3 linked regions of the Struthio camelus genome follow. The protein of the gene in region 3 interacts with the protein of the main gene of each other region in a pairwise test. Links are inferred from orthologs where the notes say so. Each region holds a gene or a part of one and is shown on either strand. Other genes may lie near its edges.

The links. The genes of interacting proteins can lie anywhere in the genome.
Region 1: the proteins of TMPO (region 3) and LMNB2 interact in a two-hybrid assay, tested with the Homo sapiens proteins (2 studies listed by BioGRID, with this or other methods). The link is inferred for Struthio camelus from reciprocal best matches to the Homo sapiens genes TMPO and LMNB2.
Region 2: the proteins of TMPO (region 3) and LMNA interact in a two-hybrid assay, tested with the Homo sapiens proteins (2 studies listed by BioGRID, with this or other methods). The link is inferred for Struthio camelus from reciprocal best matches to the Homo sapiens genes TMPO and LMNA.

The regions. Positions count from the first base shown.
Region 1 is NC_090967.1:1,606,814-1,614,341, forward strand, and holds the start of LMNB2 (lamin-B2), read right to left. Parts: upstream 3,016-7,528; 5' UTR 2,907-3,015; coding exon 2,706-2,906; intron 1-2,705. UniProt on the Homo sapiens protein: Lamins are intermediate filament proteins that assemble into a filamentous meshwork, and which constitute the major components of the nuclear lamina, a fibrous layer on the nucleoplasmic side of the inner nuclear membrane.
Region 2 is NC_090971.1:3,833,974-3,841,149, forward strand, and holds the start of LMNA (lamin), read left to right. Parts: upstream 1-4,161; 5' UTR 4,162-4,280; coding exon 4,281-4,882; intron 4,883-7,176.
Region 3 is NC_090942.1:53,314,657-53,322,244, reverse strand, and holds the start of TMPO (thymopoietin), read right to left. Parts: upstream 3,003-7,588; 5' UTR 2,838-3,002; coding exon 2,595-2,837; intron 1-2,594. UniProt on the Homo sapiens protein: May help direct the assembly of the nuclear lamina and thereby help maintain the structural organization of the nuclear envelope. Possible receptor for attachment of lamin filaments to the inner nuclear membrane.

The DNA of each region.
Region 1 (7,528 bases), on a different chromosome or scaffold from region 3:
GGACAACCAAGAGGAATGTTCATATTGAATACATTGGAAAAAGAAAATGGGTTATTTTAAAGATGCAGAGTTAATACAAAGATTTAATGATGTAGTCAGAACAGCACGTCACTATCACTTGACTACGCTTAACTGTGCTTCTGCACAGTAGTTTGGGGGTTTTTCTTTTTTTTTTTTTTTTAATTAGCATCTTACTTCACACTGCGTTTAATCATTTTTAGAACATACATTCTAACACTTTAACAATCAAATTGGACTGTTAGCTGAAAAATTTTTTTTACCAGATTGGTTCCGAAAGTCAGAAGTACAGGATTCCCTCATTTCAGTAAACCTGAAAAATCTCAAAGCCATTGCAGGTTTTAGCGTTCACACAGCCCTGAACCTCTGGACCATTATTTCACTTCACAACACTGACAATACTTCCAAGTCTCTTCTTTCAGATATGTGTATAGAACAAAGGGAGAGGGGAAGCATCTAACAAATGCAGTCCAGAGACCAGTAAAAGTATCTTAAAGTCACTGCCTTTGACATACCACAGCAGAGCCTGAGGAATCCAGACAAAGTTATTAGAATATGTCCAAGAATCAGGACTTTTAAAAAAAAACTTGGATAAAAATGAAGAAAGTAAGCTCAAGGGCAAAATAAGGATTTATTAAAAATCAATAAGGATTGATTAAATACTGAAGAGTTAACAGAAGTCAGTTTATGTTCATGCTAAAAACCTAATGAGAATATACGTATGCTTCATGCTTGCCTTGTTTTTACTCTCGTTACATGCACACTGTTAATAAATGCAGGAGGCAGACGGCAATTCTAAGACGCATATTCCCTTCTGTACTCTCCCAGCCTCCAACAACCTACAGCTTAGAAGCTCTCTGAACCAGATACAGTTATTCTGTTTCAAGCATAATTTCACACAGGACAAAAGATGTAAGAATGTATTTTGTTTAGAAAAAAAAAAAAATCAAGCTATTTGGAAAATATAGAAATTATATCATTAAGTGGCACAAATGGACTTTAAAGTGTTTGATTTCTGGAAGTACAGAAATAACTAGGCAGGCAGATCACTCCCAAAACAAGACACTATCATATTTGGTCCATTTCAACTAAAGTGCAGTAATTCCAACCCTCCTCCCAGTACCCCTAGTATTAGATATATATACACACATTTATATGTATATATATATATATATATATACACACATACACACACACTGTATATATATAGATAGATAAAAGCAGCTACATAGCAGCAGTCCTTTGCAGTCCACAGCAGTCCTTTGCATCAACACAAGTTACCAAGCAGGTAACCACAAGGCTTTCCACAGAAATTTAACTTCATCTGTGAGGTGGGACACCTTACCTTGCAGAGTGCCTCCAAGAGATGGCCAAGTGGGGGGTTTTGACTGGTACAGGATAGGTGGGACTGTCCCCAGCTGGGTCACTGACTACATCCTTCCTTCATATGGGAAGGAGAGTCCTGGGGGAAAGCAGATACAGCAGAATAGGGAGAAGCAAAGCATGGCTTAGAAAAAACAAAAAACAAAAGTATCAGCCAGTTTGCCTCCAAGATCACAGGAAACGGCCCAGATCCCCTATCATGATGGGAACACTCAGCAAAGAGTGGTTCACGCTACAAGGACACACTTAGTTCTAGAGGGGCTAACAAAGATCATCTCCTGTAAAAAGCAAAGTTTGCCTAAACTCTTTCAGATTTTTTCACCTTATCACATCAGCAGTCAGAGTGGGGACCATAAAAGAAAAGGTGACGTTCAGGTTGTTGCAGCTCACAGGATGTGCTCACCACGTGGGAGTACACCAAGGCCAGTGCTCAGCTCACCAGCTTACCTGTGATAAGGGAACAGGCTACAGAGTATAGCAAAGTAGTAGTCCACAGCAGAACAGACCTGCACAAAAACTGACAGGACCCCGAGCACTGTATCAGCAGCAGGAACTAGAAGATCCAGTGAACCAGATCTTTTGTGCTGCGAGCCCTACCTGAGCAAAATAAGAGCAGCAGCTTACACTTTCAGCGCTAGACCCCAATACCCTAACTCCTGGGAAGGGCACTATTCTCATGCCTCACCCTAAAGGAGGGCTCCAGCACAACCAGCCTGCAGAGGCAGCCAGCGGTGCCACTCCAGTCCAGCTGTAGACATAGAGTTTGCTCCAGGCGTGGGAATTTCACTCAGTGTCGATACTGGCCTTATCCTAGTTTAGGTGTCACCAGGAGTCTCTTCTCCCCACCTAACGGCAAGACAGAGAGCCCCCAAAGGGCCATTCAGATACAGAGACGTTTGACTTCTACAGCCTCCCGCAGAGACGCCGAGGTTCCGCCCGGCCCCGGCGGCTGTCGCCTCCAGCCCGGAGCAGGACAACTGGGCAGAGCCAGGACTACCTGCCCCAGGGCACTGCACAGCCGGGCGGGGACGGCGCCACGGGCCGCGCACTGCACCGCCGCACCTCGCTGCTGCCCCGGAGCCGCTCCAGGGCTCTCGGCGCCGGACGGGCAGGCGGAGGCGCCGCGGCGGGAAGGGGCCCGCCGAGCCCGGCCGCGGCACAGCTCCGCGGGCCGCGGAACCCCCTCCCCTGGCAGGAGCGGGGGAAATGCCCCCAACGGGCAGCCGCTGCCCCCTTCCCGCCCCGGGAAGCCCCCGGCGAGGGCTAGCGCAGCCACCCTGGACCCTCCCGCCGCCCCGCCGTACCTCCCGAGTGGTGACCTCCTCCTTCTCGGAGATCTTCAGTAGCAGCCGGTCGTTCTCCAGCTCCAGTGCCCGCACACGGTCGATGTAGACGGCCAGACGATCATTTAGCTGCCGCAGCTCCTCCTTCTCCTGCAGGCGAGAGATGCGAGTCGGCGACAGCGGGGTCCCGCCGGGGGTGCCGCGGCTCGGGGTGCCTGACATGGCGCTCTCCTCGCGGGCAGGCGGGCAACCAGCTCATTCAATCCAGCCGCACTGGGGGAGGAGGGAGCGCTAAGATGGCGGGCGCCACCTCCCCTGCCGCCGCGCCGCTTGGGAAATGAAGTCTCCGCGCCAAGATGGCAGTCCTGCGCCGCAGGGCGTGCCGGGAGATGTAGTCCCGACCGGCACCATTTTGTGAGTCGCGGGCAGCGCCGTGCAGTGCTGACGGGACCTGCCGGCGGCAGCGGCCCTTAGCGCGCTGTGCGGTGGCTCCTGCTGGCGGATGGCCCGCTTCCTCAGGAGGGCGGGGACCTCCCACCCCCGCGCTGGCTCCGGCTCCGTGTTTGCCCCAGTACCTCATGCCCTGGGGCAATGGGTCCCCCTGGTCCTGAAGTGATTCTCCCTCCACAGCTTCAGTTCAGGCTCTGCTGAAGCGTTTACCACCACCGTAACGGCCTCGTGGTCTTATGGCCTCTAAGTCAGAGAAATGAAGACTGTTCCCTGTGGTGCCCCAGACCTGTGAAGCAGTCCTGCATATTGGAAAGGAGAACATTTTTTTCTAGGAACTCTTGTTACTGCTATAGCAATCGCCAGAAAACAGGTCACTTCTGAGTACGTTCTCTCATTTTTGCATTAATAAAGCCCAATAAAGCTCATGAAAAAAAGATCCAGTAAAAACGTAACTGTACAATCAAATGCTTTGATTTGAAGAGTTCACATTAATTACAAGTGATGCAGTGCTGCTAATTCTTACAATTTTATTGAAAGCTTTGCAATACTTCTCTTACAGTCTATCTTTTCACATTAGTTATCTAAAACTTTGTTATAGAGCTCTGTTTTCAGCTGTTTATAATTTTGCCATGCTCTGCTGTTAGCAATGAAATTTTGTAGGCCAATTGTCTGCTCTTTGCTCACATTGACAGTGGGGAGTTTCAGGAAAAATACATATCAGCTATTTCCTAGGGTGGATTTTTAGGAGGGCTGCTTTGTAGATTTCAGAAACTCCTTCCAGATTTTTACTGAGATAATAATGCCTGCTAGCCTTCAATCAGGGAGTTCAAGAAGGTAGTTATCCTGAAATCCTTTTGCTGTCCCAAGGAATGCAGCCAAATTTGTACAAAATAAAAACCCCTGGAAAGTTTCACTTCCTAGAAAGTTTCACTTCCTAGAGATTTGGAGTATTATTTTTCCCAGATCATATTTTTACTAACTATTCCTCAATCTCTATCAGTTCTTACATATTAACCGGTAAAAACTGATTAGCATTCCCATGAGCTAATGCCCTATGTCTCAGAACTTTGGAGTCTGAAAAGCATTTAGGGGAGTTGTGTCTTTCGGCTACCAAAGACGACTGAGAAGAGAGAGAGAATTCCTGCCTGAGAACAGGGAAAACCAGATTAAGATAAAGCAGTGGTACATGCACAGAAAAGAAAAAAGCAGCATGAGTGTAATGCAAAGAAGAGATGTGCATGAGCGGGAAGACAGATCTAGACAGAGAAATATTAGAAAAGGCAAGAAAATACTGCATGTTTAACATGAGAAGAAACACATGAAGCTAGGCTGGCCAAATAGGCACAAAAGGGCTTATCCTCCAAACAGAAGTTAGACTGCTCTCATGTTAGAGGATCTGGGATTCAAATATCAAGTATGCCTCATACTGAAAACCCTGAGATTGAACTCAGGAATTCTGGACATTCATCGTCTGTTCTCAGTGAATAGCTGTAAGTCCTCTTGAAACACTGCATTTCTCAGCAGCTGATCCATATAGAGAGTACATTTTCATCTGAATGTATCTGTTCAAAAATATGCATCTGATCTGAAATAAGTCATTTGGGCTTTGTCTGTAGACAGCAGAGAGTGCCCTCCACACTGCAGTTCATCCCACCTGGGCTCAGGTATCCGACTTAGGATAGACTTGATTCATTTTTTGCCTATATACTACAGAGAGAGTTGAGAGCAGGGGTTTCCACACTGAGGTCTGTGAAGCCCTGGATATCACTGCTTACCTGGAGGGAGTTCATGAAAGATAAACAAAATGAAAGTAAGCACATAGATCAATATATGTCATTTCTACTGGCATTTAATCGACCTCAGATAGTATTTTAAGATCAGTGCTTCATTATCAATAAGATATTCTTTATCAGTGATAATCTAACCAAGTCACCATATGATATACAACTCAACATGAAACTTGTAGCTTTCTGACTGAAATCATAAACAGTTGTCTTTGACTTGAATTTATCTGAAAAAGGACGAGGAAAAGAGAGACTACAAATCCCAGAGTGCTGCGGTTTCTTCTTTGAGCGCAGAAGTCTCATTATGCAGCCTCTGCCTACTCAAGGCACAGACAGAGCCATAGTGAGGACAGCCCAGAAGCCTTTGGAGCCACCTCCTTCTGCGTTGTTTTCATCTGAGTCTCTGGATTTGAAGTACAGTGCGTTTTTTGAATTTTGGCGCCTGTCTGCAAATTGTAAACCAACTGCTCCTGGAGCAGCTCCAGCCCTCAGCCACATGCCTCTTGCTGGAGTTTCTAGGATGTGCGTGTTATGTATCTTTTCAAATATAGCTGCCTTCCCCCAAGCAAAGCACAGGAGTATTTGTAAACACTAAGCCATGCACTTACTATGAACTTTTTGCCTCCCAATGAGTACAGTTTCCAACACTGCACCACACAACACAATTCCAACACAGTATGTGGAAGACCTGTAATAAAATTCGGTTAGATTAAGCCAGAAGAAACTATTTTAGGAATTCTGAAAGCCTCTGTACAAGCATTTTCGGGTTAGCTTATTTTTCCTTTCATGATTTGCCACTACACTGCACTCATCTGTCATATTTTGGAAATCCTTTTAAACCCTTTGCAGCATTTTGATTGGTAATGTAATCCAGGTTTAAATCCCATTTATTCATGAAGCTTAGCCCAAACTCTCCTATTCTTCTTTTCAGATTTTTTAGATAATATCTTATAAATTTTGTATATTTCAAGGTATTTTTTTGCCTTCTAATGTTGCCAGTTATTTTCATAGTACTGCTGTCAACTATGTCACAGCAAAATCTTTTTTCTAAATACACTTTCTTAAATATCCCTCCCTCAAACTTGGACTATTGAGATGTAATACTGTCTATGTTTTTTATGGAAGATGCCTTTCCTTAGCAGTAACCAGAACACTTACATACATATACTTCATCCTTGTTATCAGTATCCTCTCCCTGTTCGCTGAACTTTTATATTCACTTTTCCTGTCTCCACTAGAGAGAAGAGAACAGTTGGGGGGTGGGATGGGGAGAGGAAAGGATCAACTATGTAAAGGAAGTGTAAAGAGAAAAGCTGAGAGCCAGCTAGACAACTGCTGCTTTAGATGGAGTATAATGCTTTAGTCATGGAATTAGCATCTGTTCAAATACTAGTCCTCTTGATTGCTCTAATGATATGGTTTAGTATTGAACCAGTCATTCATCTCTCAGTTCTTAGTAATTATTTTCTCATTAAGGACCTTGACAATTCAGTGCTACTAAAAACATTTAATAATAAAGTTCCCTCGCTGCTTTCAGAAGGTAGAATTGATTTTTTAGCCCAGGACACAACCATTTGTTGTTTAATAAAGGGACACTCCAAGGCTCTGTCAATGTCACTTGCTTGGGATGGCAGAGGGCCATGGCATACAGTGGGACTGTGTTCCCTCAGCTGTTCAGATTGGGAACCTGTTCAGAGCACACCAAGGCTCCTGTCTGCTCACTCCCTCCTTCTTCATTTTTGTAGAAACCGGAGAACAGGAGAAGACTGGTGTGTGTACAGGTTTCACCTCGCTATAAAGTCAGGAACTTGGAAGTCCCTCAGGCTCAGCATTGGAGCTCTAGCTCAGAGGTACTTCCAACATATCTGAGTGTCTCAGTAGGATAAGAATAAATTCTTGGGATGTCAGAGAATACTGACGGTAGCAAAAGACTTTGCCTAGCACTAGAATGCTTCTCTCATGAGAAGAAGAGATTGCTCACAGTCACTGCTAAAGACAAAGTAAAACCTCACACATCCTTTGATGTAGAGCATCTTCCCAATTGTTTGCCAGGCAGTTTTCTTGTGTAACTAGCTTTCTGATGCTATCTTAGATTTCATGACAACTTTGAAATTTTCACAAATCTGAGGACACAGGATCTCCACTGTTATTTCTTACCTCAATTGCTTTACTTTCTCAGCAGCTGCTGCCATGCCTTTTTCTTTCGCATTCTGCCCTGATCTGCACTCTATTATTCATACATCTTTAACAGCAGGATCATTTCTGTCTTTTATATAGTAGTCTAACTTCCCCTATGCCTTATATTCCTTATCTCCCCTCTGAATGACCCATGTTTAATCAATGTCTCAGATACGTTCATTCTTTTTAGGAAGGGGCAAGAATGCTCTAAGGACTGAAGATATAGCACAAACCATTCTTTTATCAGCCCAAATTCAACTCAGCTTGACAGTAATTAAAAGTTACTTGCAGCCTCCGAAGGTCTGGGAAGTACCCTGCTTTCTCCACCATAGGACTTATAGCTTGCTACAGATTTCTGCTCTAGAATTTCAGTTTTCACTTTAAAAAATGCTTCTAGAAGTAGGAGGACACAAAGCACCAAAGTAAGTAGAG
Region 2 (7,176 bases), on a different chromosome or scaffold from region 3:
CGCCGTCCTTTGCCCCACGCCGGCCTGGGCTGGCGCCAGCTCATTGTGTGCGCTCTCCCTGCCTGCGCCGAGCTCCCCGCTCGGGGCAGCCAGAGAGGGAAAAACGTCCGTTAAAATGCGAGCGCGACCCCCCCCCCCCCCCCCCGCTCCGGCTCCAGCAGCGCTGGGGGGGTGGCAGGGAGGAGAAAACGTGGCTCGCTCAGGATTTTGCACTCAGAAACTCACCGGTTGCAGTGAAACAGGGTATTTAGGGTGCACGTGCACATGGGCGTAGCTCGGGCTACTGACTGCACGCCGAACTGCCTGATCCCGCGCGCGGGAGTGACCCTCGGCGGCTGCGGGCAGAGGATGCAACGCTGGGAGGGGGCAGGAGGGCCCGGGGTCCCCTCCGCCGCCCCGATCCCCAACGCGCCCGCGCGATGCTGGAGCCGCTTTTCCTTTCGACCCCTGCCCGCGGCGGGGAAGGGCAGCCCAGCAGCCAGATGCTTTTCCCGCTGGGCTGCCTGGAGCGGCCGCATCCTCGCGGCTCGGCAGCCCCGTCGCCGCACCAGCGCTCCGGGGTTCGGCGAGCGTGGAGCGGGCAGGAAAGCCCGGGGCACCTTCGGCCCTGCCTGGTGCTCTGGGTGCTCCTCTCTGCTGCGCCCCGAGTCCCTGCACCCCTGGGTGCTCCCTGCCTCCCCCGGCTATAGCCCGGCCAAAGGGGGCTTCAGAGCTTGCACTTTAGGATTGCTTTTGCTACTCCAGAGCGCATCCGCCACCCAGACAGGGTTCGTTCGTGCTCCCGAAAGCGAGGCACGGGGCTTGCCGGGGGACGCAGGCGTCCCCTTGGCTGTCGCTGCGGGGCGCGCGTCTGCCCCAGCCTGAGCAAGCGCCGCCGTTCGCGTCCCGGGAGCTCGGAGGCGACGCGCTCCGCCGTCCCGGGCGGACGTGAACCCCCGCGGGCCCCAGTCTGCAGCTCCGCAGCCCTGTCCGGCGCGTCCGGCTCTCCGTGGGCTCCGCTCTAACCGCCCAGCGGCCCGTCGCGGGGCCGCTCGCGGGGTGTCCCGCCGTTCCCGGGCAGAAGTCCTCCTGGATGGCTCCGCGTCGCCCTTCGCGGCTCTCCTTCCTGCTGGCGCATCCGAGCGCATCGTTGGCCCTGCCCTGGCTCCTGCTTGCTGCAAGTTTCAGCTCTCTCAATAAATACAACTGGTAAATCTATTAATTTTACAGCTCTAATTGATGTATTGCTGCAATTACCTTTTATAACAAGGCAATTAAACCCTATTAAAGATTATTAGCTAATTAAAACTCCTCTATGCGCACGCACAAACCCCCTTACGCGGGTGGGCTGTGGGTGGGAAGGAGGGGAAGCCCCCAGCGGCCGGGGCCTCGCGGGTCAGCCCGGCGCTGGGTGCCACGCGGCAGGTCGGGACGGCGGCCGGGGGACGCGTCTGCCACCGCGGCGCCCTCCGTCCTTGGGCGGCGGGACCGCGCTGCTTCGTGCCCTGCTGCGGATGGCCGGCCCGCCGGCTCTCCGCTCCCTGGCGTCGCGTGGGAGCAAGCTCGGGGGCCGGGATGTTGCCCTCCTGGGGGAGGTAGGGTTAACGGCGCAGCAGAGAGGGTTGGAAAGGGAAAATCCCCGTGTTGGAGATAGGGTGTGCCTGCTTTGGAAAGGGAACAGCTGGAGAAACGCCCCGGCTGGGGCCAGGAGCCAGGGGAGCACCCAACAGCGGGAAGGCATCTCCGTGGGATCACGGTGCCTCCGTCCGGCGTTGCTCCGGGCCTGCGAGAGCGGGAGACGATCCCAGGCTGCGTAAAAACCTGGGAAATGAAACCCCAGGATCCTCGGGAAGAAGCAAAACCGGAGAGAGAGAGAGAGAGAGGAGGAGAAAGGTTGGGCTGCGAGGGCGGCTGTGGCGGGACGTCCGCAGGGCTCGTCCCTCGGCAGCGCCTGTCCCGGACGCGCTCTCCGTCCCCGCCGCTCCCCTCGCTGCCCCCCAGCCCTCGGAGCAGCCGCGCTTCATCGCTGGCCACGTGTGCACATGTATGTTTGCATTGTGGCGTTTGCAGGCACCCGACGTTTCCGGGCTTTTTGCAGGCCAAAGAGCTTTGGAAGCTGAAAGGAGGTTGAAATTCCAGGGATGTGACTGCTTTCTGCTTTCTGAGTCACCGCGGGAGCTGGCCGGGCAGGATACGGGAGCGTCTCCGCGAAGGGCGCAGCCTCCCCGTCCCTCCGTCGCCCCTCGCCGGTCCCCCGCGCTCTGCGCCGGCAAGCCCACGGAGCCCGGCCTTTCGCTCCCCGAGCGCTCGCTCGTGCAAACCGCAGGAATTCACGTTGGAGGGGCCCAAGCGCCGGGCTGCGCCCCGACCTGCGCCGTGCCCCAGCCGGGGAGGGAGGCGCGCGGCCGAGCCCGGCCCAGCCCGTCCTCCCCGCTTCGCCCGTCTCAGCTGGTTCCAATTAAACCCCCCTCCTGCCTTGCGTAAATGACAAAAACGCCTCTCTGCCATCTGGGAAGCAGCCGGAGCCGGTGGCTGCTGGGGGTGCTCAGCCCGCGGGGTCCTGCGCCGGGGGCTGCCGGGACCGGCTGCGCCAGTGACCTTTAGCTGTGATTTTTAAGCTATTGCTCAAGCCGGTCCCTTGCTCCCAAACGCGCTTTGCCGTGTTAAAGCACGGCTGCTTTAACCCCCCCCGGCCGGCCGATGCACGCCGCCGGCGGAGGGTGCAAAGTGCTTTTCTGCTGTCCCTTCCTGCCCGGCGTGGTTTTTCTTTTTCTTTTTTTTTTTTTTTTCTCCTTTAAAACAAAACAAAACAAAGCTGCGGAGCGGAGGAGGCCGTTGGCGTCCCACAGTGCCCCGCGCGCTGGCTCGGCCGCGGCGGCGCGCCGGAGCCGGCGGCCAGACCCCGCCTTCGGCGGCGGCGAGCATCGGCCCTCGGGGACGGACGGGCAACCCGGCGGATCCGGGAAAGGGATGAGGAAAAGCAGCCGGGCACGAGCGCCGAGGCAGAACGAGGGCGGAGAAGGGAAAAGCACCAGCGGGAGGGAGGGAAAAGCTCGCACGATGCAGCGAGGAAGAGGAGGGAGCGAGCGGGGCAGGCGCCCCCGGAGCGGGGAGGCAGCTGCGGCGCCGGGCAGCGGACGGCATCGCCGGCCCGGCACCGCGCGCCCCGCTCCGCGGGGGTCTTCGCCGGCCCGACGCGCAGCGAGCGGGAACGGGGAAGGGGTACGGCGAGGCCCCGCTGCCAGCCCTCCGCCCGGGCGCCTTCCTCGCCGGCCTCGGGGCTGCTGATTTTTTGAAAGCCGGCCGCTGGATTTTCGCCGTCCCGCTCGCCCGCCCCGGCTGCCGTTCCTCCCCGGCAGCCGTGACTCATCGTTGCCGTGCAAGGAGCGGGGTGGCGGGGGATTAATCACCGCCGGCGCGCGCACGCGTGTGCGTGTGCGTGCGTGCGCGTGTGTGTTTGTGTGTGTGTTGCTCCGGTTGCTGCGTGAGTCATTCCCGGCCTGCCGGCGCCTTTGCTTCCCTCCCGTTAGAGGCAGTTCAGCTGCGTTGCAACGGGAGCCCGGGCTGCGCCCCGCGGGCGCCACGCTGCAGCGCCTTGCACCGCGCCGGGGGAGCGGCGGGCGCCCGCCGCCCGGCTCCCCGTCCCCATCCCCGTCCCCATCCAAGCTGGCCCCGGGAACTGGGGGGACGGGGAATGGCTGGGACTGGGAACTGGGAGAACTGGGGCGACTGGGATCACCAGCGCTGGGAACTGGAGAAACGTGGGGGGACGGCTGGCCCCGGGAACTGGGGGAACGGGGAATGGCTGGGATTGGGAATTGGGGGAGTGGGGAATGGCTGGCACTGGGAACTGGGAGAACTGGGGCAACTGGGCACAGCTGGTGTTGGAAATTGGGGGAACTGGAAACTGGGTGCAGCTGGCTCAGGGACTGGGGGCAATTGAGAAACTGGGCACAGCTGGTACTGGGGAGAACTGGGGCAACTGGGAGCTGGGCGCAGCTAGTGCTGAGGACTGCAGGAACCGTGAGGACCAGGCAAAGCTGGTGCTGGGACTGGAGGAGCTGGGGAAACTGGGGGAGCACTGAGCCCCCTCTTTGGAGGTCTGGGGGTGCTGCAGCAGCGTGGGGGACCCCGGGGTGCTGGCTTTGGGGCCCCAGGGCTCTGTGTCTGCCGTGCCCTGGTGCTCTGGGTGCCGGGGGGGGGGAGCTGGCACCCAGCTCGCTGTGGGGCAGCGGTGGCGGCGGCAGCGTCCCCCACCCCGCGGCCGAGGCCGGCTGTCCCCAGGCCCGCTTTTCCCAGGGATGCTTTCCCAGCCTTTTCCCAAGGAAGGGGCCCTGGCGCTTGACGCAAGCGGGGCTATCTCCTCCCCGCTGGCCGATAACTCCACCCTCCTCCTCCTCCTCCTCCTCCTCGCCGCGGCTCCGCCTGGCAGTGCGCAGCCCAGCTGGGATATAAGCAAGTCACTCGGGCAGCCCGGAGCAGCCGAGACGCTTGGGACGCGTGCCGTGTCCTCGACGCCGGGTTTCCCCCCCCCCCCTCCCGCCCTCCCCGCCATGGCGACGCCTTCGCAGAAGAGGAGCACCCGCAGCGGGGCGGCGGGGACGCCACTGTCGCCCACCCGCATCACCCGCCTGCAGGAGAAGGAGGACCTGCAGGAGCTCAACGACCGCCTGGCCGTCTACATCGACAAGGTGCGCTCGCTGGAGCTGGAGAACGCCGGCCTGCGGCTCCGCATCACCGAGTCCGAGGAGGTGGTGAGCCGCGAGGTCTCGGGCATCAAGGCCGCCTACGAGTCGGAGCTGGCGGACGCCCGCAAGACCTTGGATTCGGTGGCCAAGGAGAGAGCCCGGCTGCAGCTGGAGCTGAGCAAAGTGCGGGAGGAGCACAAGGAGCTGAAAGCTCGGTGAGTGCCGGAGCGGGGACGGAGGGGGACGATGCCACCGCCGCCTCTGCCCGGACGACCGCTGTCGTCACGCTTGGCAGGCGGCGAGGACGCGGGAGCCGGGAGGGAGGAAGGAGCGGCGCGGAGGAGGCAGGGAAAGGGGAAAGCCGCGGCCCGGCCGGGGCAGGAGCGCCCGCGGCGGGGGCGGCTCTCCCGGCGTTCCCGGCTCCCGTCCCTGGCGCCATGTTCGCCCGGGTGCCCTTGGAGGGGGAGGCGGGCGGGGGGGGGAAGCAGAGCCGGTCGGCGGCGTCCTCAGCTCCTCGGTCGGGGACCGGGCGACGTGGGGCGCGAGCCCCGGGCTCCGGCCCCTCCGAATCCGTCGTCTATTCCTAAACGCCGCCCGGCGCGAACCGGGAAGCGGTGCCAGCCAGCTGGCTCCGTCCTGCCGACGCAGCTCTCCGGCTCGTCCTGTTTTCCTCCGCTGTCTTTGGCAGCTGTTAAAGAACCTGCTCTGCTTTTGCTCGCCTTAACCCTGCCCGCGCCGGACCGGTCCCCCCCCACTGCCACCGCCGCGGAGATGCTCGGGCAGCGCCCGCGTCCCTTCCCTCCCGCCGCCGGGCGCCCCTGCCCTTCCCCGGTACCCGGCCTGGGCGCCCGCGCGGGGCTCGGCCAGCCCGTCCGTCGATGCCCCCGGGGGAACGGCGGCGAGAAACCTGCGGGCGCGTCTCCCCCTCTTCCTCCCGGCTCGAGCTGAACGCTGGCTGTCTCGTTTTGAGTCCCCGTCCGAGGGACTAACGAGGCTAAAATTAACTCGCTCGGAACACGCCATAAATAATCCTACCTACTGGGAAGCGAGCGACTGCGCGGCCCTGTGCAGCTGTCTCTGCAAAACCGTGCGGCGTTTTATATTTAGCTTTGTGTTTTCCCTCGCCCCGGCTCGTGCCCGCGGCGCTGCTCGGCTCGCCGCCGGCATCCCGGCCGCGCCGCGCTCCGGCTCGCCTCCCGCAGCTGGCGAGGCGACGGGCAACGCCTGGTTTACGCAAACGCCGAGTTATCTCGGCCGGGATCTTTCGAGAGCTGCGCGCTGGCTGGGGTGGGGGGAAAAGATAGATATATATATATATATGCGCCCGGCCTTGCACAGCAGAGCCGTTTGCAAAAACCGTACGGCTTTTCCCCGCTCCCGCGTCGCGGTTGTCCCCTAAGGCCGGCGGACGCCCCTTCGATCGCGCAGGAAGGGGGGCTCGGCCGGGGCAGAGGGGCGCGAACGGGCCGCCGCGGCTCGGCGCCGTTGCCCGAACCCTTTCGGCCGTCGAACGCGCGTCGGTAAACAGGGAGGGGAGCTGCGGGCGCAGCCCGGCGCTGGTGGCGTCGGCGGAGGGGGCCGGGCGCCGCTCTCGCCTCTCCCATCCGGCCGGGCTGGGCCCTACCGGTCCTGCCGGCTCTCCCGAAGCCCTGGGTCAGCGCCGGGCGCTAACACCTCGCCCAGCTCATAAATAACTTGCAAAAACATCCCGGCCGCCGCGTTTTTCCCCCCCTCCCCACCTCCCCTGCAACGCCTCGACCCCGGGCGGAAGCGCGCCGGGTATCTCCCGGGCGGCAGGCGGCTCCGGCCGGGCGTTATCAGCGGCCGGCAGCGCTGCGCCCGCCGCGGGGCCGCCGGTTGTCTCGGCGGTGCAGGAGGCAGGGCGGGGGGCTCGCGGCCGGCACGGCACCCGCCCGCCGGGGCCAGAGGGGCGCCGGCTGCATGGCGGTGACGGCGGCGGGACGGGCTGCACGGCAGCGTGCCGGTGCAAGAGCCGCTCCGTGCACGGAGCAGGCTCCGGCTCTGCCCCCGGCCCCCCTCCTGGTGTGTTTTGCCCCAAAGGGACCCCCGGAGCATCCCGCCGGGGCCGGCGAGGGGTCGTTCCCGGCTGGCTCGGCCGAAACAGGAACCAGGCTCCAGTTAGCAGCTCGTCTGATGAGCGACGGCTTCCTGAACTGCAGCCCCTAACCCGATTAAGCCGGCGGCTTGGCATCGCCTCTTCCTCCCCAGGGCCCAGATCTCATTCCCGCACGGGTGGATTTTGCTCCGCTGCGGCGTTTTGCACGGGAGGGGGGGAAACCTTCAACCAGCCGGATGGTCCCTCCACCTCCCGATGCGTCCCCGCTCCGGTCCCATGGAAATTTTTCCCCGGGGGAGGGTGGGGGGGAAAAACAGTTTGGCTGGGGGAAGGATCCGCCCTTTGAGAGCGAACAAAGAGCGGATTGTGCAAGGCGGCGGGCGACGCCGGGCTGGGCCGGGACCCCGCGGTGCCCGACGCCTCGCGGACCCC
Region 3 (7,588 bases):
CAGAATGAATGCACAAAGTTAAGCTATGTCCAAAGGAACACCAAAAATCAGGAATCACAGAAAGCGCAGTGGGCCAGAACCCTCTGAAACAGAAAACTACACAAGTGCTCTTTCAAAGGCATTTACAAGTTAATACTAGCTTCGATTGAGTCATCCTTGATTGAAAAAACCTCTTGCAATTTTCAAATTAAACAGCACTCAAATTTAAGAGCAATATGGGAACCACAGAATAGAGCAGACCAATTAAAAAAATCCCACAGAATATTTTTGTAATGTGTTTCTAAAACATCAAAATGCTTGATTACATTAAATAGCTGATTGTCTACAGATTTAGAACAACTGGTTGCATTTTCCTTTCAATATACGTAAGTCAGTACTGTCATTTTTCCAGACCTGTAACATACATAAAAATGGAGCTAATAAAGCATTGCAATTTTGTTACTCATATCCTAGCCTAACAAAAAAATAAAAAAGCAATGCTGTTATACTTACACAGGTGACAACGCAGTTGCATTTCCATATGCACCCACTGAAAACTGTTTTCTGGTCTTTTACAAAAATGCATAAAACAAATACTTGAAATAAAAAAAATGAAGTTATCCAGAGGAGTACAAGCCTCAGTTTCCTCCCTTTTCCCTATATTCCCAGTTTCCTCTCTTACATAGATTTAAAAAGCAACAGGAGGGAAAGTAATCACTCATACCAGCTTCTTTCATTTTGCCTCCATACCAGAACTCCACTCCTCTACACATCAGACCTTCTTCACTCCTTTTCTCCCTTCCAAACATTTTGGAGACATATCACTCTGGAGGCCTGTATGTTATTCTATTGGAAGGACAGCAAATCAAAGCAGCACAACAGCTAATCAAGCTACAAGTAGGTTCAGAACTGCCTAAGTTGTACTATGCATCAACTGAGCTATCAGGGAGGGGAGGGGTGCAAAAGAAGCAGAACCCACCAAATTCCAACTGTTGCCACTACAATATTCTCTGAAGTTTTGCATCAAGGTGCACTGCTCGGAAGTTAACACACAGGAAGACTAGCATAACTAGCACAGAGCCTTGCAGACATTATTAACCAAAGTGCAAGAGTACCACCCATTCTGTAAACAATAAAATAGTCATCCATAATTGTTTAAGTGAAAGGACTGGAGAAAGGAGAGGGAAAAAAATCAGGTCTTGGGACTTCAGAAGTTGAGACTTCCCTCCTCTTACAACTCAAATTCAAGGTCATTCTCTTCTACTTGAAAGCACCTTAAAATGCTACAGGCAGATCACTGAACTGGAGAAGCGCCTAGTCCACGGTTAAGTGTTCTACAGTGAACATCAATTCAGTATTTGAATTAGGCACATATTAAAAAGAGGTAAGCAATTTAACTAAAAATCTCTTCCTCTTTCAGTTACAATTTTCAGTTTCTTAAACTAAGAACTGTTAGTTGTTCAGATTTGTATATGCTGTAAGTACAAAAAACCTTCGAAAAAGTCTGGTCCTCTGCAGCCTCTTTACAGATAAACTTTGAAAGATTATTTTTTGCAGACACGAGTTTTTTTTATACGAATTACAACTCTAGTAACCGGCAAACACCGCAGAAACCTTTACGCAAGATGAGTCAGTGTGTTCAGCTTCAGATTATGAAAAGATTGCTTTTTAAAGTATACATAAATTTACAAGGCACTTACTAAAATAACAATAAAAAAATCATATTATCGAACATAGAAAAAGTTTAAGTGTCCTGAGCTACAGCTACACCTTTTTCCTTGCACACATGCTGGTATAAAGTCTAGGAGAGCAAGTAACAGTTAATCAGCTGAATCCTTGCAGCAGAGGCATTTTGCTATGAAACACGTGCTCAGAGGTATGAGAAAGCCAACTATATTAAGCAGACACTCTTTACACTAAAAGAGTCCACTCCATTAAGCAAAACAAAGAAGCTGTTCCACCACAGTTTCATCCTCCCATCCGAGAGGGGACATTCAGATCAGGGTTGTTTCAGTGCAACTGAATTTATAGGAGGCTCCTGTCTAATGTTCCTGAGACGAAGCCTCGTGCACACTTTCTCTTGCTTTGTTTCTCCAACACTTGAGCACTTTCGCAACGAGACCGCCAGTCAAATCGAAGTCGAGACGTCCCAAGTTTACAGCCCGGGGATCTCACGTCCCGCACTCCCGGCGGCCGCGGCGGCTCCCGCGTTCAGCCGCGCTCCGCGGCCGCCGCAGCGGGGGCCGCGCCGCAGCCGCCGCTACCGAGAGGCGCACACGCGGGACGCGACCCGGGGGCAAAGCCGGCGGGCTGCCGGGCACCGCGGGTCCCAGTTAGCGGTCACACCGGGAAGAAACCCGCCGGTACGGGGCGGCCGCCTAGCAGCGCGCCCCGACCCCGCTCCCTCACGCCAGGGGCGCGATCGCGCCCTCGGCCGGGCCTCGCCTCGCCGCAGCCGCCCCGGCGGGAAGGCGTGCGGGCAGCCCGGGCGCCGCACGGCAGCCCCCGAGCCGCGGGGACCGGCAGGGGCGGGCGGGCCCGTTCGGGCGGGAAACCGGGCCGGGGCCGCCGGGAAGCCCAGGCAGCGCGGTGGGGGGGGGGCAGGCTGCGCTCACCCGGCCGACGGCGGCACCCCGGCTCCGGGCGCCGACGGGCGTGGGCTCCCGCTCCTCGTCGCTGGAGAAGTCGGGCTGCGCGGCGGCGGGCGGCGGGTTGCGGGCGGTGAGGTGCTGCAGGTAGAGCTGCACATAGACGTCCTTGCGCTGCTCGCCGCCCGGCAGGCTCACATTGTTAGCGATCAGCTCGCTCTTCAGCTTCTCCTTGGTCAGCACCGACGGGTCCGCCAGGAACTCGGGCATCGCCGCCGGCTGCCGCCCGCCCGGGAGAGGCACCAACAAAGCGCGGGCAGAGCGGGAGGGGGCGGGGAGGGGAGGGGGAAGGACTCGCCTGCCCCGCGCCAGCGACCCAGCTCCGCGGCGGGCGCGCGCACCGAGCGCTTCTCCCAGCCGGCAACAAGGCGCGCCCCGATTGGCGGGGAGGGGAACGAAACGGCCCTGTTATTGGCTGCCGGGCGGAAAAAGGCAGCGGCGCGCGGGTTCCATCGGCGTTAGTGCTTTGCGCGAGGGATAGTAACGCAGTTTAAATTCGTCTCAGGCGGGAGAGGCGCGCGAGGCAGCGCTGCCGCGGGGGGGGAGGGGCCGCCGCCGTCCCGCTCCCGCTCCGTCCGTTCCCCCCACTCCTCCACAGCGAGGGTCCGCCTCGTGGCGGTGAGGCGGCGGCGGCGGCGGGGTGTTTTCCCTTGCCGCGCAAGGGGTGAGCGCACCCCGCGCGGGTGGTGCCTCGGGCCCGGCCCTGCGCCCTTCCGCGGGGGTAAGGAGGGCCTGGCGCGCCCGCCTACAACCTGTTGCGGGAGTGCCGCGGGCTGCGTCGCCGCCGCGGCTCCTCGGGCACCGGCTTCCCCGGCGTGATCGACTTGCAGCGTTTGTCACGTGCTGGTCTTCAGTGTGCTCAAGCGAATGCCTCGCAAATACATTTAAAGCGTCTTCTCCCACAGTAGCCGAACTTTCTGTTACCGGTAGCGAAGTGCTTCACTTCCACTTAACGCGCTGCCAGCCTAGAGAAGAAACCCAACCAGGAAAGCGCTAGCTCGTCTCCTAGTATAACTGCGGCAGCTGTGATAAATTTTATGTTCAAAGATGCTGGAATCCCTTCTAACGTATTGGAAAAGTTAAAAGGCGGGTGTAGTCACTGCATCGAGCTGGTTTCAAAAAATTCACAATAGTCTCTCCCCGCTGAGGAAGTGGTAGGACTGAATCGTAAGACTGCAAAGTCTTTAGGACAAGTGAGTTAAATCTTTCTGTATTTACATAGTGCTTGCTGGGAATATACACTGCTATAAATCTTGAATAAATTGTATGGTGAGAAGTTTAATATTTAGATCTGAACGTACATCCTATGTTTGTGGGAACCATACTGTAGTTTCACAGCTAAGAAGAACTGAAATGTGAATCTATTTTAATTTGCCCATAAAACATAGATGTGAAACCAGGTGAGTACTGGTTGCATCCACTCCTTTACGTCGCCAGAAGAGAATGGTTTTAAACTGTTGTTGAGAAAAAGAACGTCCTGCTTTTGGTTTGTTCGATCAATGACAACAGAGGCTGTCATTTGTGTTTACCCAGCCATCGCTACCGTCTTGGCTAGATGAAGCTGCTGAGGGCCGTTTTGGTAAAAGAGAATTTGCAGGCAAATCCGGCACCCACCCACAAAAAGTCTGATGCTACTGATTAATTAGTGTAGTATAAGAAAGCAATTAATACAAGGGAGAAGCTTAGCTTGGGGACTTTAATTTTACCCCCACTGCAAGTAATGATACGCTGTGGTCATTGTCTGCATTCCTAATAATATATATCTAAAATGAAGAAACTATTCAGTTCTTACTGTTCTATACACTTTATCTGCTCAGTTTGTTAGACAATGAGTCTGAACTGTGGGTAGAAATATTTTTCTTCCATTAAGAGCCTACCCTGAGCAAATGCTGCTACTCCACTGTGATTTGACTACTATCACTTATTTTTAAGCCCAAATGGAATAAATTAGATGGTCCAATTTATTTTTCAGCATACCTTACCCAATGTTTTTCCTGCAACATGGGTATCACATAAGAAGTGTTCTGGAAATGCCTAGTGAAAGTTGAATTCCTCTCCAAATCTGACAGTAGTAATTTAAAGTGTAGATCATTTGTTTCAGGATTTGATTCAGATAACAAGCCAGTTGCAGACTAACATGGAGCATGCTTCAGACAGGCATTATGTGAGAGATTCTTCAGCTATCATGCTATCTTAAAACAAGAAACTCCATTGGCGTTGAGTCACAAACGTTTTCAAGCAGTGTAAGGGAAAACTGGATCTGGGAAATTTTAAACCAAAGTTAGCAGTGAAAATGCAATCAAAAAATTTGATGCGGGTTCCATCTAATAACCCCACAGACAACAGAGCATTCTACACTTTAGGCTTGAAGCTTGTTTTCTGCTGCTGCTGCTTCTTAGTGGAATTCAGCCGCAGTTTGCAACTCCTTGTAAAGTTCAGAATATGCACTGCAGTTGATGCTCCTTTCATTACGAGTGACCCTCAGCAGTGGGAGGAATGAAAAACGTTGATCTTCAGGTCAGTGCTCACCCTTCAGTCTAAGTATTTTGATGGTTAGTCTGCTTTTAATGCATTTAGTGTAGCATAAAAAATGCAACAATGAGATGATAATGGAGCAGTAAATCACTACAAAGTTACACCGCCAGTTCAGATTTGTTCAAAATAACTAGGTGGGTTAACTGGCTTTACGTTGGGTCTGTCTTTTTGTCCTCCTGGAGTCAGGCAAAGCTGGCTTAGAAGAACAAAGCCAGCAGAAACTCAGCATCATATGCTTTGGCTAATTGCTCAAAATCCAGTACTAGTGATTGTGGAACTTCAGGTTAACGTTACTTACAGTTCATATTTATATTCCGTTTCTGTTTCAAAAGTTATTTCCTCAACCATAGAAATATGTATTATTTGTCATGAATGATTTTCTCAGTTATACTGTTAAACGTCAGTTGGCGTAACTCCCTTGCTTGGACACTGGACTCTTACCAGCTTTCTGTTAGCTGCTTCCCAAGTTACATGAGCTAAATGGGAGATGAGCACTTGTTTCCTCCTCATGGAAAGTTATGTTATATTACGCTTTTAATATTACCTTATTGCAGGCCAGTAGATTTCTGTGAAGCAGGGTCCATAGAAAAACCTGTCAAAAAACTGTCCTTTACATCCTGTATAGTATCAAGTTGGCATACACAGTTCTACACTTTTCATTTTTGCTCCTTGGGAGCAACAGGCATTCTCCAGACAAGGTAAAGAAAGGGGAAGAACTAGGAGAGGTAATCAAAACGTGTACCTACGTTATGATTAACACTGGAAACTGCAAACCTGCAGCTATACCCACAGTTAGAGCTCAGTACATTTGAGGATCTGCATTTTTCTTGTTTGTTTTGTTTGAATGAAAGAAAGCTTAAATTTTGCAGCATAAGATAGCAGCCAGAAGGAAAAAGGGAATGAGTTCATTAGGAACGAGCTCAAAAGATCTTTCTAATGTTCTTACAAGAAAAAAAAAAGAAACCCTAAGCGATCTGTACGCCGTTTAGCTGTTTTGCATGTTAAAGGTTGAAATAGAAAACTATATCGCTTTGTGAAGCATTCCAGTACTTTAAATGAAATGTGTATGCCTTACCTCAAATTCTGCTTTTCAAGGGCTGAAACACCTGCTTCTACCTGAGAAACCTGTAGTCAAGTGTTACCTCCTGTCAGTATAAATGCAGGTGACAAAAAGGTTTAGGAAAAAAGTGAAAATTGGAAGTACAAGACTATGGCCATTTTCAGTGGTTGAAAAATTACTGTAAGCTTGCCTAAAAATGTGAAATATGCTGAAAGCAAAAGCCAAAAATACTTCCTATGTAGGACCCTCCCAAATGTCTGGAATTTTTTAGCTTTCCTGAGTGTGAGAAAGAGATTTTCAGTCATGCAGACTTTGATATGAAAACACTGAAGCCCTTCTAAATTATCTCAGATTTTTAGCTTAGAGTTTTGCCAGCTTTACAATTCTTAACCTCTAATGCCACACGTAAAAATGAGACCTTGTTTATGTTGCGCTACAATATAAATGTTAATTTTCTATGTCTGTGTGTTTAAAGATTATCCTGAGTTTAGTAGAGTTTTTGGATAACATTTACGCCATCAGGAAATATACCTTTATAATTTGCATTCATGTTTAATCTTTGTCTCATAATACATGGTAAAATTGTGAAAACTGTAAATTCATTAATGACAAAGACATTTAATGAAGTGCTACAGGCCTGCCCTTGCCTTAAACTGAGTTGATATGGAAATCTTCCTATCTAAAGGAAATGTAAAAGTCCTATATAAAATATTAACTCAGTCTGGATGCACGGTACGCTTGAAAATGAAAATAACATTCCCTTTCTGAAAGGCAAGAGAAACTAGAAAGCACATTCCTATAAGTAAGGGAAGCAGTTCCTAATCATTAAGGCATAGTGTAACTATACTTTCTAGAATCACTCAATGCTTTTCCACATTCTGGATTAATTTAGAGAACTGAGACAAAATATATGGCTTTTTAATAACTCTACCTTTCTTATTAGAAATATCTTTTTAAGCATAATTCAAGTGTAAATGGCAAAGTGATAAGAAAAAAACATGCCTTACTGTAAGGACGTACAGGGCAACTCTCTCTTGGGGGAAAAGTTAAACCTGTTCCTGAATTTGCAGTGGAAATAGTTTTTACCAGGTGGACAGGCCAGGCTACCACACTCTCATTAGCATCCCCCCCACAGGGGGATATGCTTGGTGGTAAACAGGCAGGTGTTTGCTCATATTTTCAATATGAGAGGAATCCAGCTCTGACGGTATTCTGTATGACTCTGTCCTCATGCACGGAAAGAAATGTGTACAACTGGATGGAATTACAGTTTTAAAGCTTCTTACTACTGACATTGTGATAGACAAAGGCTTATATGAATGAAGGCTGAAAACAGAAGTATCAGTTCCTACTTCAAGTATACTGA